Linked DNA regions of Rattus norvegicus. The protein of the gene in region 2 binds, or shares a complex with, the protein of the main gene of each other region. Links are inferred from orthologs where the notes say so. Each region holds a gene or a part of one and is shown on either strand. Other genes may lie near its edges.

Region 1 (3,832 bases), on a different chromosome or scaffold from region 2:
TGGAGCCAACAAATGGGCCTGGGGGGTTGGGGGCGGAGCTAAGAGCCTGAGGAAGGGGACTTCGGTAGCTGTCTGCTTGGCCAGCCCCCTTGGCTCCCTGTACCCTGCCCAGCCCCCATCTCCCTTCACAGCCTACTCTCAAGGGACACACAGCTTCCTGCCTCTTGCCTGCCCCACCAGCTGCTCCTAAAATAGTTTCAGATGTTTCCTGCCTTGAGCCGCTCATGCTCCTGGTTGAGGCTCTTGAGGGCTCACCAGTGCCCTCTGGTCCACACTAGGTCCACACTCTGTCTGCCTCTGCTCACCTACAAAATCTCCCCAAACCCCTTCCCATACCAGGGTGACAGAACTAGTTCAGCAGGTGACCGGCCAGAAACCCAAGCCTGGGCTGAGAGTTCTGGTGTTTGAGCTGAGCTGTGAGGGTGAGGATGACGAAATGGCCTTCCCACCTCTGCATTATGAGCTGTGATGAGGTGGCCACCACGCCACCACTTGGCCATCACGAACTCTGCATACAATTCCTGCATCTTCAGCCCACAGCGGATACTTCAACAATAAAAGCTTGTTGAAGGAAGGCACAAGTGGAGTGGATGGTAGAGCAAACAAGGGTGATATGGGTAATATGATATGGGTGATATGGGAACCTGGGGAAGAGAGAGGGAAGGTTCTAGACTGGCCTGTCTTAGTTGTGCTTCACGGGGATGGGGACACTTCCTAAAGCCTCAGGAGTATGGAACCAGCAGTTTAGAAAAAAAACCAAAAAACTTTATTGTCTCTAGCTGGAGGGCAGGGTCAGAGGTAGCTGACATCATTGTAGATAATAGGTTGGCGGCTTCGACAGTTCATGAGGGCTGCAAATCGTGAAATGTCCGCAGGCAGGTCAGGTTCTGGGCGAGGTGGGCATGACAACCTCTTGCCTGCCATAGCTGTCCGTCGAGCCCTGGCCAACCTACGCCGTAGCTGCTCAGAGAGACCAAGCAGGAACTGGGGGGGTCGAGCACGGGCTCGGGGAACATCTCCATCACTTCCTTCACTGGTCGCTTCGGGCAACTCCATCCAATTGTGAACTAAATCAGCAAAACAGTTATCCCCTAGCACCAGGGGCTGCCGACTGCGGCCCCTGTTCAGCAGGGCTGCCGTCCAGTCCTCTGCTTCCAATCCCTGCCAGTGTTCCAGGCAAGCATCAGGGGTGGACTTGGGCCTTGGACGGTGGGCAGGAGGTATGTTGGTTACAGCTGCCCTACTGCGCACGGGGAGGTCACTCACTGAGAAACGCTGGCTATGAGGTGGACGTTCTGGGGGTGCCTGGCGCCGGGGTACAGACAGCTCTTCTTCTCGCCATGTACTGCCTGACACCTCTGAGAAGCCAGAGTCCCAATCTAGGGCATGTTCCCTAGGACACCCCAGCGGTGCACCCCTGTCTTCTGCTACCAAGCCTTCCTCCTCTTCCTCTTCTACACAGCAGACAGAGTCCTCTTCCAAAACATCGGAGGCCCTGAACCGGCGCTTGGGCTGTATATTTTGATCAGTTTTAGGTTTTGGTTGCAGTGGGCCAGGCATTGGAGGTGAGGCTGTGTCCCGAGCACACAACTGGAGAGAAAGATAGGGCAAATGTTGGACAGGGATTTCTTAGTCCCTGACCCCGTAGTGTCTAACCAAGCCAGCTCTGAGAAAGGAGGGTTCAGAAGGATTTGAAAATCCTCTGGGCAGCAAGGCAGAACTGTAAGCGCAGGGCCCACATGGGGGCACTGGCACTCGAGGCTCATGTGGCTCCCATCCACAGAGCTGGTGGCAGTCCGGCAGGCTGCAGCACGCAGGGCCGGGCAAGTCAGCACGCGCCACCAGGGCGGGCAGGCAGAGTGGAGGAAGGAGGTACAGGCCAGCCCATGGTAGGGGATGTCCACAGCAGCACAGCACTTCTTTAGGCCTTGGGTGCTCCCTGACGGTCCCCAAAAGAAACTTCTTTCCCCAACTCTCCTCCCCCGCCTCTCTGCGGCCGGCACGGCCAGCTGGGCGCCTGTTACCTGATGCCCAGAACAGTTCCCAACCGTCAGAAACCCGAAGCGGGCCATCTGGGCCATCTGTAGCGCACTACCCTGCCCCCATCCTGACTCTGATGGGCACCCGGAGTCCACCCCGTTGCCGTTTGTTGTTCCAGCCAGGCGGCAGCCACGCACTCCACACACATCTTCACAACCACACCCACTCTAAAGACTCACCAGTTCCCAGCGGAGCTGGCTCAGGAAACTGTCAAGCCGAGCGCTGTGCATGTTGGTGCTGGTGCTGAACACTCTCCAGGTCCGCCCGCTCACCGCCGATCACCCGCGGGAGCGGCGCAGAGTGGGCCGAGTCGGCCCGCTAGTGGCGTCCTCACCCTTGCCTTACTCCAAGGCTCCTTACTCCCTCAGTAGCTCCGGCCGCTGCCGCCCCAACATCTGGCAGCCGCGCCCCGCCCCGCCCCCGGTACCCTAGCCAATGGAGGCGGGGCGAGCTGAAGATGCCCTGCCCCTTTCAGCCCCGCCCTCCAGCCTAGCTCTGCTGGTGGAGCCTGGCTGTAGAAGCTCGTGAGCTCCGAGTGCAGCTCAGGACCCTTCACGTCTCAAAAACTTTAGCTAACCCTGCTGTAGCGCAGTTCCGTCACGACCCCCTCCAGCCCCCGTACGTTCATCCCGTGACCTCATCTTTTCAATTTGTCCCCTGGTGAAATAGCGGTTTCTTGTGCTGGGGCCCGATGCGACGCCCACGTTTGGACACTGCACCCTATCTTCCAATTGACAATATTGTGGCCCACTCGGGGTCTGTCCAGGCTGGCCTTGACTATCCCTGGAAATGATAGGACCGAGTTTCCTTCCGCCCGGTGAATACTCCGCGAAGAACCTTAAAACAGAGAGAGTAAGGGAAGGGCCATGGCTAACTGCCCTCCAGCATCCCTCTAGCCTGATCTGAGCCGAGATAGCCTGGACCGCCCTCTAGTGGGGATCGCGTCGCTATGGTCTGCATCCTCAATCTGCACCACTGACCTATAGGTTGTGTGCAGGAATGGAAAAGGAAAACTGCTCTTTGGCTCCAATGTTCAGAGTCTTTCCCCTGAGGCCACTCCACAATCAGAGGTACAGTCTAACTGGAGACAGACTGGATCTTTCCGCAGACAGCAAAATATAAGAGAATGAAGGCAATGAGTTCAGTTAAGAGATAGGACTCTTAAGGGGCTGGGGATTTAGCTCAGTGGTAGAGCGCTTACCTAGGAAGCGCAAGGCCCTGGGTTCGGTCCCCAGCTCCGGAAAAAAAAAAAAAAAAAAAAAAAAAAAAGAGATAGGACTCTTAAAAAGATATGACCTGGGTTGGGGATTTAGCTCAGTGGTAGAGCACTTGCCTAGCAAGCGCAAGGCCCTGGGTTCGGTCCCCAACTCAGAAAAAAAGAAAAAAAAAAAAGATATGACCTATCTTGGGTCAATTCATTTGAGTGCAGTGAGGAAGGGCATTTTAGGTGAAAGGGTTTGCCAATGTAAAGAATATCGAGGGACAAGGGTTAGGCAGACCAAACGAAAGGAAAACACGGATGTGTGTGATGAATGGGGCAGGGGTTTGTGGATGGAGAGAAGTCATCAAAACCAAGCCTCCAAGATTTATGAGAGTCTCTGGGTTTTATTTTTGGTGCTATAAAAAGCACGGAGCTTTTTTCAGTGAATGACCAGGGCTATTTTCTGCAAGATACAGTTGTTTTGGGAGAATAATCCTGCAACCAAAGGAGGTTCTGGCCTTTCTCCCAGGCCAGGGTATGTGTCTGAAAGCCTGGATCTGAACCCAGAGGGTAAACAAAAGCATCATTCTA
Region 2 (3,863 bases):
TCGCCGCACCAGACTCCACACTGCACCGGGCAGCATGAGGTGTGGCACTGTTGGAGTTGTAGAGACAGGCCTTGTGCCAAGGAGGGCTGGGGAGCCTGGTGCAGAGGCCAAGGTGCTGGGACAGGCAGCAGGAAAGGCTGGAGGGAAGGGTGCATGCTGCTGCTGGTTCTGAGGCAGGAGGCTAGAAGCCAGAGGTGCCACTTCTGCCCCAGCTGTCCCAGCCCTCAGCCAGAACCCCTGGACCTGGGTCAAGCAAAGAAACTAGACCAGCTGGGAAAGCCCTGTCCAGGCCTGGGGCTGGCCGCCTGCAGGCCCCTTGGGACCAGTTGAGACAGGTTGGCTGCTGCGTCCCCACCTGCCTCTCACTTGGCTCGGCTGCCAAACCGGTTTCCCTGGCTGGCTGCCCACTAATGTTCTTCTAGTAGACTGAGCCAGTGACTCCCAAGAAAGAGAGCCATGCCTGGAGATGAGGAGACCTGGCTGGGCCCTGGACACTTGTCTGTAGCCACTTCCCCAGCTGAGTGTCTCTGGGGCTGGGTGCTGGTTCTGTGCCTGCCCAGCGCTCTGCCAGTACTGGAGAGGCAGTTGGAATGACGATGAAAGTCCTCTGGTACCCTTTGGTCCTCTGGGCCTCCTGAAGGAAGCCTCCCCTTAGCACACCTGCCATCCCTCCATGGCTGGGTAGCACTTTGTGGGCCCAGTCCCTACCAGTGTTCACTGTCACTAACTAGGGACATCTGCCCCATGTAGACCTTAGTGGGTCACAGGCTGTCTGGGTTGTCATCATGTCCCACTGTCAGCCAGAGTACAGTGGGTGTTAGTGATGGAATGACTGATGGATCTTTTTTCCTGTCTTACAGATGAGTAACTCAAAGCCTCAGGAGGAGACGTCACCCACACAAGGGTGTTTCTAGCCCAGCCACTTCAGACCAGGTCTGTATGACTCCAGGCTCTTCCCACAGGGCCAGTCTCCTGGGCAGAAGGGGCTGGTCCAAGGCAGGGAGGGTCTCAGTCCCTCGATCACCCAGGACCCAGGTAGTGAGAGGCAGAAGAGTTGTTGCAAAGCTGCCTAGTGTCTGTCGTTGCTTGAGTCTCTGTGAGGTGCCACCATCACCTTGTCCTTGAGCTGGGATGGACCCCAGGGCCTCCCACCTGCTGTATGTGCTCTGCTGCTGAGCTGTAGCCCCAGACCTTTTTATCATTTTATTTTGTGACAGTTTCACCACACTGACTATTCAGAATAGCCTGAATCCACTCTATCCGGGGAACGCTTTGAACTTGCCATGCTCCTGCCTCCTCAGGAGCTGGGATTGCAGCTACTCAGCCTGTGCTCCTGGCTGGGCTCATCTGTTGATTTTTTTGTTGTTGCTGTTGTTACAGATGTTGATTATTTTTAATTTACTTTTTAAAAATTATTAATAGTCTTTATTTTTAAATATTTAATTATTTTTTGTATATAAGTAGCTGTCTTCAGACACACCAGAAGAGGGCATCAGATCCCATTACAGATGGTTGTGAGCCACCATGTGGTTGCTGGGAATTGAACTCAGGACCTCTGGAAGAGCAGTCAGTGCTCTTAGCCACTGAGTCATCTCTCCAGCCCTAATAGTCTTAAAGTTTGTGTATGAGTGTTTTGCCTGCATATGTGTCTGGGCACCACATGTGTTGCTAATGTCCTTGAAGGTCAGAAGAGGGTGTCGTATCCCCTAGAAGTAGAGTTATAGACAGTTGTGAGCTGCCGTGTAGGAGCTGGGAATTGAACCCAGGTCCTCTGGAAGAACAGCCAGTGTTCTTACCTGCTAAGCTTTCTCTCCAGCTTCCTGCTCCCTTATTGAGGCAGGCTCTCTGTGTAGTTCTAACTAGCCTAGAACTCACTTATGTAGACCAGGCTGGCCTTGAACACACAGAAATCCACATGTCTCTGCCTCTGAGTCCTGGGACTAAAGGGGTGCGTCACCTGCCTGGCTCTCCCTTGGATTCCTGACCAGCCTTTACTGGGTATTTATGTAAGTGCCCAGTTGAAGATCCAGGCCCCAAAGTTGGAGAAGGCCACAGTGTGGAGAGGCATCCCATGTGTCTGTAGTGGCCAGACTAGAGGTGGGGACTGTTCACTGGTTGTCATTACTGGGGTTGGAGGGAGACAAAAGACACACAAGAACAAGAGCAGTCTCCCTGTCGGTGAAGGGCATCTGAAGGTGATGTGATGGCCAGCAGGCTGTGTGGTTAGAAAAGTAATCAGTAGAGACTCGGGGACCTGGAGGAGGGGAGGAGGGGAGCTCTTGGGATAACAGGCAAGGGGACTGCCTGCCTGTGCTAAAGCCCTGATGTCTGAAAGCTGATGTGAAGCTGGTGGCTGTATAGGTCTCTGGGCCACAAGGAGCTGTGGCTCTGAGGAGGAGAGAGCTGGGCCTGACCTTCTAGTTGCTCAAGAGGAACCACAAAAGTAACTGCTCAGAGGGCCCAGGAGGAGGCTGCTGCCCCCTGCTGGTCTGTGGGAGAGCTGCTGAACCAACCAGGGCAGCCTCAGAGAACGGGGAAGGTTTGAGTGACAGACAGATCACCTGCCACTGATCCCACCTCCCTTGGTGCTTCCTTCCCGCAGGTGCCTGTAAGAGCCCAGGCCACCCCACCATTCACACACTTTGTGCTAAGGTCCTGGAACCATGTTTGGAAAGAAGAAGAAGCGGGTGGAGATCTCGGCCCCATCCAACTTCGAGCACCGCGTACACACAGGCTTCGATCAGCATGAGCAGAAGTTCACAGGGCTTCCCCGCCAGTGGCAGAGCCTGATTGAGGAGTCAGCGCGCAGACCCAAGCCCCTGATCGACCCTGCTTGCATCACTTCCATCCAGCCTGGAGCCCCCAAGGTAGTCATCACCACACCACGTCTACCCCACAGCCCATGCTGACAGAGTAGCCCAGCCCTTCAGTTGCCCCTGGCCTCTTTGCAGAACCCCTTACCTCTGTAGCCCAGTGCCAGCCTTCCAGCTGCCAGTGCAGTCCTGGAAGCCCATGCTGACCTCTGACCTCCACTCCTTCTTCCCCAGCACCACACACTCAACCTTGGTCTCCCAGTGCTTCATGACATGGGAGACAGCCCACTCCCAGACAACCTCCGGGCTTGCTAGGGGATACCTAAGCTGCATTCCAAGGTCTGGGGAGCAGCTGAGGCAGATGGGAGCAGGGCAGAAGCCATCCAGTCTTAGCATCCTGAGCAAACTGTCAGTTGAAATGAGACCTGAGGTCTAGACCCAAGATCCTCACACTTCTCCCGCCTCGGTGCACAATGGGAGAATTGTGGTCTCACAGCCTAGGCAGGGACTACAGCCACGCAGGCCTAGTGATAAGAGTGCCCTGGCTGGACTCATGCCAGGGGTGGTGGGACCCAGAGGAGTGCAGCCAGAGCTGTCCCCACTGGGTGGAGTTGGGCGCGCCTGTGGTCAGCAGGCTGGGTGCCTGGCACTGCGGCTGACTCATCCTCTCCCGGTGACCAACCAGGGCCTGCTGGGAGAGATAGAGTCATCAGGGCACCTGCAGCCACAGTGCTTGGGTCCAGGCTAGGGTCTTTCTGGTTATTTCTGCGACCCTATAGGGTCATGTGAGAGCCTAGACTTCTCTCCATTGCTTAGAAAGCCCCTCTTGTCATCTGAATCTGTATGGGCCTTTCACAACCCAGGTCAGCCGGAAGCCAGTAGCTTGTGAGGTAGACCCCACCACAGTCCCCAGACAGCCCACCCTGAACACTCCCATGACCTGATGAGCTTCGTGGTCATTTTTCACAGGTTGTGTGTCCCCAAAATTTCACCCCTGCTCCATGCATTCTTCTTTTTTTTTTTTTTTAAAGATTATATTTTTATTTATTT
Region 3 (3,863 bases), on a different chromosome or scaffold from region 2:
GGGTATTCTATACCAAATGGAGAAAAAACTAGAAATTCTGGTCATTTGTGTCCATTTTTTAGATGTCAGTAATTTAACTCACGGGGCCTTTATAACAGGAAAGTAAATAACGTGTGTGTTGTCCCAGACCTGGTATGGAACAGCTAGATTATATGCCCTGGCTTGTGCTGTCCCATCCAAGTTGCAAAGCGGACTCTCTAGGGAGACTCCCCAGGGTGGAAAGCTCAGCCAGCTTCGGAGAGCTGCAGTCTCTGCCCTGATACTTCCCGGCTTACAAAAGAGAGATTTACATGACTTAGATTTGAAGTTTCCTTCCTCACATGCTTTCTTCACTGATTTCCTGTCTTAGGAACAGCTTTTCAGAGTGCTCTGTGCTCTCAGTCAAGAACAGCACTGTCTGCCACTGTGTCTGCCTGGAGGGCTTCAAGTAGGAAGTCTGAATATCTATGTGCAATAGACTTGACTATTTGGATGCTAAACACCCAAACTGGGCCTTGATCCTCTGCCAGCTCCCAGTCCAGCAGCTCAGAGAGTGCAGACACACCCTGTCTGACTAGAGTCGGAGCCCAATCAGGGCAGGGACCGAAAGGAGTGGATGGGATTACTGTTCCAATAAATCCCAAAAATGTTTTGATTGAGATGCTGTTGCTCCCATTAAGTAGCAAAACACCAACAATAAAACACGTGGCCTGGAGCCAGCTGAATGTGGCCTTGGAGACTCAGAGCCATAATCATAACCTAGCTTTATGTAGCTTACCCTACCTGTGGCTTTAAAAGCTACACCAGCAAATAGCGAGATGCTTAAGGAACTTTGAATGCATCTGTATTTAAAACTGTTCATCTTACTGTTCTTTTTTTCTTCTTCTTATGTTTAAGATAGGGTTTCTCTGTGTAGCTCTGGCTGTCCTGCAACTCCCTTTATAGACTAGGCTGGCCTCAAAATCCACCTGCCTCTACTAGGATTAAAAGTGTGGGGGCATGCACTGAGACTAGCTGGCTTATCTTACTGTTTTTCAATCTTTATGTTGGTTTCTCATTCCTAAGGATGATCTAGGGCAGCATGGGTAAATGAAACTAGCAAGACCAGGGAGACTCAGGATGCAGGCTACTAGGATATCCCCACCTTACCCAATCCCCAACCTACCCTGGAGCTGGGAGCTGTTTAGGCTACAAAGGTGTGGAGAGAAGCCCAGGGTCTTTAAAAAGAACACCCTCCTCTGAGGCAGCAGGAGACTAAGAATCAAAACTGATATCATAACACAGAAGAGGCCTGGATCCCTGAAGGAGAAGTGCCAAAAGTCGATGACATATAGCCCTCCTCAGATTTTGTACAAATGAGCACCTTTGTAGATATTTAGCTGTGGACATTTGGGGACGTCTTACCGCAGACTTAGGTAAACTCTGACTTGCTGGGCTTTTGGGAGCTTGGGAGTGCCCAGTCACGTAACCTCAGATAAAGTATCTTGGAGGAGGAAAATGTCATTGTGTTGATGAGAAGACAGACTCTAGTCTACCCCTTGGCTATCTGTATAAAGGTATTTATCCTCTGTAGGCTTCACCTTCCTCATCTGTAAGCATGGCTTGGAAGCCGTAGGGACCTGAGGAGTCCGATATGGGATGGAATGAGATAATCTCAATAAAGCGTTTATTTGTGAAAAGTGTGAATGGTATCTGACCCTTAGCGAGAACTAGAATCTTAGCTGTTCTGGTGACTACATTGGGCCCTATATTCCACAAACTCATTAAGGTCAACTGTGGAGATGAGGCAAGAAAAGGATAGAAGCTATCAATTTTACTGTGTGTTGTACAAGGCATCATCTGACCTCTATGCAAGAGCCATGATATATACACACATAGTACACACATACACATACAAAACTAAAATTAAACAAAAAATTAAAACTAAAACGACGTTTTCATTTAGTTATACGGAAGTAAATTATAGCTGCTAACCTAAAGAGGGACAATCTCTGAGCACATTTATCCTTTTGTATGTATGTATGTATGTATGTATGTATGTATGTATGTATAAATGCATTTATTTGTGGTTATGCACACACATATGTGTACATGTGCATACAAAGCTCAGAGATTGGTTGCAAGTGCCTTCTTGTATCATGCCCCTTTGAGATAGAGGCTCGTACTGAAACTGGATCTCACAAATTCTGTGTGATTCACAGCCAGCAAACCCTAAGGATCCTTCTGTCTCTGCTTTACCAGTGCTGGGATCATGAGCATCCTGAAGTACACAGCTTTTACAAACTCAGCTAACTACTCATGGTTGTGTAGCGAGTACTTGATCAATTAAGCCATCCCCCATCCCTGAACTTATGTATCTCTGTGCACTCCAGTCACTACAGGATACAAACTGCACTCTCCTGGACTTTCCCTGACCACCTGGACCCACGACTCCCCAAGGACACTTGCTAAATTATATTAATGTGGGGAAATAGAACCACGTGAGGCAGGCAAGAAAATACATCCCATAAGATCATTATTTTTTACTCATGGCGTGCACTCACTGAAAAGGATGTTAGCCCGAAAGCTCGGAATACCCAAGATACAATTCACAAACCCCATGAAGACCAAGAAGGAGGACTAAAATGCTGACGCTTCAGTCCTTCTTAGAAGGCGCTACAAGCACACTCACAGGAGCAGAGACTGAAAGGCCATCCAGAGACTGCCCCACATGGGGATCCATCCCATATACAGACTCAAACCCAGACAATATAGCAGATGACAAGAAGTGCATGCTGACATAGCTTGATATAGCTGTCTGCTGAGAGGCTCTGCCAGAGCCTCACAAACACAGAGACAGACGCTCGCAGCCAACCGCTGAACTGAGAACAGGGTCCCCAATGCAGGAGTTAGAGAAAGGACTGAAGGAGCTGAAGGGGTTTGCAACCCCATAAGAAGAACACAGTATCAACCAACCAGACCCCCCAGAGCTCCCAGAGACTAAACCACCATCCCAAGAGAACACAGGAATGGACCCATGGCCCCAGCCACATATGTAGCAGAGGATGGCCTTGTCGGGAATCAATGGGAGAGGAGGCCCTTGGTCCTGTCAAGGCTCGATGCCCCAGTGGAAGGGAATGCTAGAGTGGGGAGGTAGGAAGGAGTGGGTGGGTGGGTAAGGGAGCACCCTCAAAGAAGCAGGGTGGGGTGGGAGGTGGGATAGCGGGTTTCTGGAGGGGAAACCAGGAAATGGGATAATGTTTAAAATATAAATTTAAAAAAATGCAATTAAAAAGGAAAAAAAAGATCATTATGTTGTGATACAACCCGTGACAGTACACTTTCTCACATGTAGGGCGTGGCCATCACAAATCATCAAATACTTAAGCCTAATGTTTCCCCTAAATTAGCCTTTAGTGAGTTCCATTTTCCCATTACTTCATCCCACAATTCCTCAGAAGGAGAGCTCACCACTTACCCAATACATGGATTGGTCTGGTATCTCGGTGCTGTGTAGGAGAACGGAGAGATGTCCTTGTCAACAAAAGACCCGAAACCTAACCGGAAGTTACTAGTGAGCTTCCTCATCTCCTCCGCAAGCTTGGTGCCCAGGCTCCGGATGTTGTCCAAGTCATCCTTCATGGAGAGGGAGAGGTCCATCAGGTAGTACAGGTCTACGGGATAGTCCTCCACCTGGCGTACCTGCAGCTGGAAGGTAGCCTGGTCACCTGTGCCAAGAGAGGTCACCCCATTAGAGGTCATGTGGCTTGCTGGGGCAAATGGTGGATTCTCATTTCAAAGATCTTTTCCCGCTGTAGAATACTGGTCTGACCCAGGGCTTATCTGACCCTACAAAAAAATTAAAGCAATTCTTCTTGGGAGATGGTGCACCATCAAAAAGCAAG
Region 4 (3,863 bases), on a different chromosome or scaffold from region 2:
TGGTAGAGCCCCTGCCTAGAATCCCCCAGTGAGGGGCTGGGGGTGTGGCTCAGTGGTAGAGCACCTGCCTAGAATCCCCCAGTGAGGGGCTGGGGGCGTGGCTCAGTGGTAGAGCCCCTGCCTAGAATCCCCCAGTGAGGGGCTGGGGGCGTGGCTCAGTGGTAGAGCCCCTGCCTAGAATCCCCCAGGGAGGGGCTGGGGGCGTGGCTCAGTGGTAGAGCCCCTGCCTAGAATCCCCCAGTGAGGGGCTGGGGGCGTGGCTCAGTGGTAGAGCCCCTGCCTAGAATCCCCCAGTGAGGGGCTGGGGGTGTGGCTCAGTGGTAGAGCACCTGCCTAGAATCCCCCAGTGAGGGGCTGGGGGCGTGGCTCAGTGGTAGAGCACCTGCCTAGAATCCCCCAGTGAGGGGCTGGGGGCGTGGCTCAGTGGTAGAGCCCCTGCCTAGAATCCCCCAGGGAGGGGCTGGGGGCGTGGCTCAGTGGTAGAGCCCCTGCCTAGAATCCCCCAGGGAGGGGCTGGGGGCGTGGCTCAGTGGTAGAGCCCCTGCCTAGAATCCCCCAGTGAGAGGCTGGGGGCGTGGCTCAGTGGTAGAACCCCTGCCTAGAATCCCCCAGTGAGGGGCTGGGGGTGTGGCTCGGTGGTAGAGCCCCTGCCTAGAATCCCCCAGGGAGGGGCTGGGGGCGTGGCTCAGTGGTAGAGCACCTGCCTAGAATCCCCCAGTGAGGGGCTGGGGGCATGGCTCAGTGATAGAGCCCCTGCCTAGAATCCTCCAGTGAGGGGCTGGGGGCGTGGCTCAGTGGTAGAGCCCCTGCCTAGAATCCCCCAGGGAGGGGCTGGGGGCGTGGCTCAGTGGTAGAGCCTCTGCCTAGAATCCCCCAGGGAGGGGCTGGGGGTGTGGCTCAGTGGTAGAGCCCCTGCCTAGAATCCCCCAGGGAGGGGCTGGGGGTGTGGCTCGGTGGTAGAGTACCTGCCTAGAATCCCCCAGTGAGGGCTAGAGTGTGACTCAGCAGTAGAGGGCTTCCATGTCATTAGTAAGGCTCTATGTTCATTTCTGAGTATGAAAGAAAGAAGATAGACAGACAGACAATGACTGAAACCAAAAGTGCCCCGACACCAGCTCCCTTCCTTCTGCTTCTGCAGTGTTACTGTGTCTCTAGCCACAGAGCTGACACAGATCCCACAAGCTACAGATACCATCCCCAGCAGGTCTGTTCCTGCTCCAGACACCAGCTGCGCACTCAGGCATCCCCAGGCCCTCACACACTTCAGGCAACTGCGTTCCAGTCCAGTGACCCCAGGTTTGAGGGTGTGCTGTGTAACCAACTCACAGAACTCCACATGGTGCTGCGGGTCACAGCCGCACCAAGCGAGGGCACCTTCCACCTCTCCCAGCCCATCTTAGGTTTACTAACTGGGATGCCACTGAGGCCACGCCTCCAGGGATTCCACTGAGGTTTTAAGGCATTGGTCTCTAGCCTGCTCCTGGGAATCCAGGCTGGCCAGAAGCCCCAAGCCTTCAGTCAGGGTCAGTAACTGTGGAACCAGCCCTGATGTGACTCATTTGCATAGACTCAAGTGTCCTCCAGAGGGCTCATAAATAACAAAGATCCCCCTGTTCCAAGGACTTCGAGTCCTTCTCCCCAGAGCCAGAGACAAAACCAGACAGATTCTCTCTTCGGAAACACCAGCAAAACTGGATTCGAAAACATCAGACCCGATCCCAAATGGGTTTTTAATGACTTCCTCCCTAAGGAGACGTATCCGTTAGGGCCTCGCCTTATCTTGGCCATCTGACAGTATCACCGGATAGACAGAGCCAAAATGGGGCCAGTGAGATGGCTCAGTGGGTAAAGGCGCTTGCTGCCAAGCCTAACGAACCTGAATTCCATCCCCAGGACCCACAGGGTGGAAAGAGAGAACTGACTCACAAATTGTCCTCTGACCTCCATACTCTCTCCGTGGCATGTGTAGTCCCCTCACCCCTAAGCCCATACACACACACACACAAAAATAATAAATGTAATTAAAAGAAGTAACAGTCTGATGAGATGGCTCGGCAGGTAAAGGCATTAACCACTAAGCTTTACAACCTTAGTTTAATCCCCAGGACCATAACGGAAGGAGAAAACTGATTTCTGCAAATTGTTTTTTAGTCCCCATATATATTGGCATACATCTCATTGAGCAAACACACACAAAAATAAATGTAAAAAAAAATGATTGGGGTTGGAGATTTAGATTCAGTGGTAGAGAGCTTGCCTAGGAAGCGCAAGGCCCTGGGTTCGGTCCCCAGCTCCGAAAAAAAGAACCAAAAAAAAAAAAAAAAAAAAAAAAAGATTAACTTGAATAACAGAACCAGAGTTAGGGGTGCTGAGACAACTGGGCATGCCCAGTCCTGCCCTGTGTCCCACCAGCTTGCTGTGGGCTGCAGAGCAGCATTCCTGACTTCTCCCCTGATGCTCTCTTCTTCCTTTCTCTTTGGATCGGCACCGCCGATGACCCTCATAGCGGGCAGTGCTACTACCAGACTGTGGTAACTCCAGTCATCGAACAGATCCTCCCTGACTCACCCGGCTCCCACCTGCCCCACACAGTCACCCTCGTGTCTATCCCAGCCTCTGCTCATGGCAAACGAGGCCTGTCTGTCTCCATCGACCCCCCTCACGGCCCACCAGGATGTGGCACGGAGCATTCGCACACGGTCCGAGTCCAAGGGTGAGTGGGCTGCCACGCTGGGTGGGGCCCTGTTGTAGCGACCTGGTTCTATTAGCTCTCTGCTGCTGTGACAGGATACCTGACACAAACAACCTGAGTGGGGAGAGATTGGTCTTAGCTCACGGTTCGGAGGGCTCTAGTCACTGAGTCAGGTTATTCAGGCCCAAAACACCCAGGTACTAGAAGCAGGAGGAACTGAGATCGCTCCCCCAGAACCCATTTTTACAAAATCCAGGGGCTGTCAACATGGCTTGTCAGATAAAGATGCTTGCCACCAAGGCTGACTGACATATTGAGTTTCATTCCCAGGTCCCACAAGGAAAACCAACTATCTTCTGATTGACAGACAGACAGACAGACAGACACATACACACACACACACACACACACACACACACACACACACCGACAAAGAAACAGACCTGAAAGAAGAAGGGGATCCATGCGAGTGGGAGGGGAACAGGAGGGGTGGAGGGGAGTGTGATCAAATGCACTACGTAGTGTATGAAGGCGCCGTAGTGAAGCCTGTGGTTGACATAGTTAATAGATGTAATAGTAAGACAGAACTGGAGCTGGAGAGATGGCTCAGCGGTTAAGAGCACCGGCTGTTCTTGCAGAGGACCAGGGTTCGGTTCCCAGCAACCACCTGGCGGCTGACAACCTTCCAGCTCCAGACACCTCCAGGCCACCAGGCATGCATGCATGTGGTACATAGATGTACACGCAGACAAAACGCCTGCGTAAAGTCTTTTATTTGGTTATAGGTAACAACTAAAACCACAGTATTCTGCGATTTCCACCTCAGGTGGTATCGTTCCTTCCCACCCCACACCTGGTGCCCTTGGCTTTTGGTTTCCTCTTGGGGCTCAGGGGCACAGGTCGTAGGAGAACTCGTCTAACCATGCCTTTATCCCCAGAGTGGACCCGGGCTGCATGAGCCCGGATGTGAAGAATTCCATCCACATCGGAGACAGGATCTTGGAAATCAACGGCACGCCCATCCGGAATGTGCCGCTGGACGAGGTAGGACCACAGAATCAGACAGATCCGAGGCTGGGCAGGATGGAATGGTGGAAATAGAAGCTTCACCCCTGAGCTCTGTTGCCACCTCAGAAGACTCACCTGTCCACACCTGTCCCCAGATCGACTT

The links.
Region 1: the proteins of Pak4 (region 2) and Inka1 are in contact, whole or in part, in a crystal structure (PDB 4XBU), measured with the Homo sapiens proteins. The link is inferred for Rattus norvegicus from reciprocal best matches to the Homo sapiens genes PAK4 and INKA1. Residues at the interface, in NP_001014831.1 of Homo sapiens: Ser331, Gln358, Arg359, Glu361, Leu362, Thr404, Asp440, Lys442, Ser443, Asp444, Phe461, Leu475, Val476, Gly477, Thr478, Pro479, Tyr480, Trp481, Met482, Arg489, Glu507, Glu512, Phe516, Asn517, Glu518, Pro519, Pro520, Met524; in NP_976248.2 of Homo sapiens: Gly178, Arg179, Ser180, Arg181, Gln182, Pro183, Leu184, Val185, Leu186, Gly187, Asp188, Asn189, Cys190.
Region 3: the proteins of Pak4 (region 2) and Itgb5 are in contact, whole or in part, in a crystal structure (PDB 7S46), measured with the Homo sapiens proteins. The link is inferred for Rattus norvegicus from reciprocal best matches to the Homo sapiens genes PAK4 and ITGB5. Residues at the interface, in NP_001014831.1 of Homo sapiens: Gly330, Ser331, Gln358, Arg359, Leu362, Thr404, Lys442, Ser443, Asp444, Asp458, Phe461, Leu475, Val476, Gly477, Thr478, Pro479, Tyr480, Trp481, Met482, Glu507, Glu512, Phe516, Asn517, Glu518, Pro519, Pro520, Met524; in NP_002204.2 of Homo sapiens: Ser762, Arg763, Ala764, Arg765, Tyr766, Glu767, Met768, Ala769, Ser770.
Region 4: the proteins of Pak4 (region 2) and Limk1 are in contact, whole or in part, in a crystal structure (PDB 6WLY), measured with the Homo sapiens proteins. The link is inferred for Rattus norvegicus from reciprocal best matches to the Homo sapiens genes PAK4 and LIMK1. Residues at the interface, in NP_001014831.1 of Homo sapiens: Glu329, Gly330, Ser331, Gln358, Arg359, Leu362, Thr404, Asp440, Lys442, Ser443, Asp444, Phe461, Leu475, Val476, Gly477, Thr478, Pro479, Tyr480, Trp481, Met482, Glu507, Phe516, Pro520; in NP_002305.1 of Homo sapiens: Lys505, Arg506, Tyr507, Thr508, Val509, Val510, Gly511.

What each region holds. Positions count from the first base shown.
Region 1 is NC_086026.1:117,552,132-117,555,963, forward strand, and holds Inka1 (PAK4-inhibitor INKA1), read right to left. Parts: upstream 2,435-3,832; 5' UTR 2,271-2,434; coding exon 2,220-2,270; intron 1,591-2,219; coding exon 793-1,590; 3' UTR 744-792; downstream 1-743. Other genes in the region: Uba7 (ubiquitin-like modifier-activating enzyme 7), read left to right, coding at 340-469. UniProt on the Homo sapiens protein: Inhibitor of the serine/threonine-protein kinase PAK4. Acts by binding PAK4 in a substrate-like manner, inhibiting the protein kinase activity.
Region 2 is NC_086019.1:92,985,683-92,989,545, reverse strand, and holds part of Pak4 (serine/threonine-protein kinase PAK 4), read left to right. Parts: intron 1-860; 5' UTR 861-933; intron 934-2,602; 5' UTR 2,603-2,663; coding exon 2,664-2,867; intron 2,868-3,863. UniProt on the Homo sapiens protein: Serine/threonine-protein kinase that plays a role in a variety of different signaling pathways including cytoskeleton regulation, cell adhesion turnover, cell migration, growth, proliferation or cell survival.
Region 3 is NC_086029.1:80,404,191-80,408,053, forward strand, and holds part of Itgb5 (integrin beta-5 precursor), read right to left. Parts: intron 3,687-3,863; coding exon 3,437-3,686; intron 1-3,436.
Region 4 is NC_086030.1:27,679,845-27,683,707, forward strand, and holds part of Limk1 (LIM domain kinase 1), read left to right. Parts: intron 1-2,506; coding exon 2,507-2,713; intron 2,714-3,630; coding exon 3,631-3,736; intron 3,737-3,855; coding exon 3,856-3,863. UniProt on the Homo sapiens protein: Serine/threonine-protein kinase that plays an essential role in the regulation of actin filament dynamics. Acts downstream of several Rho family GTPase signal transduction pathways.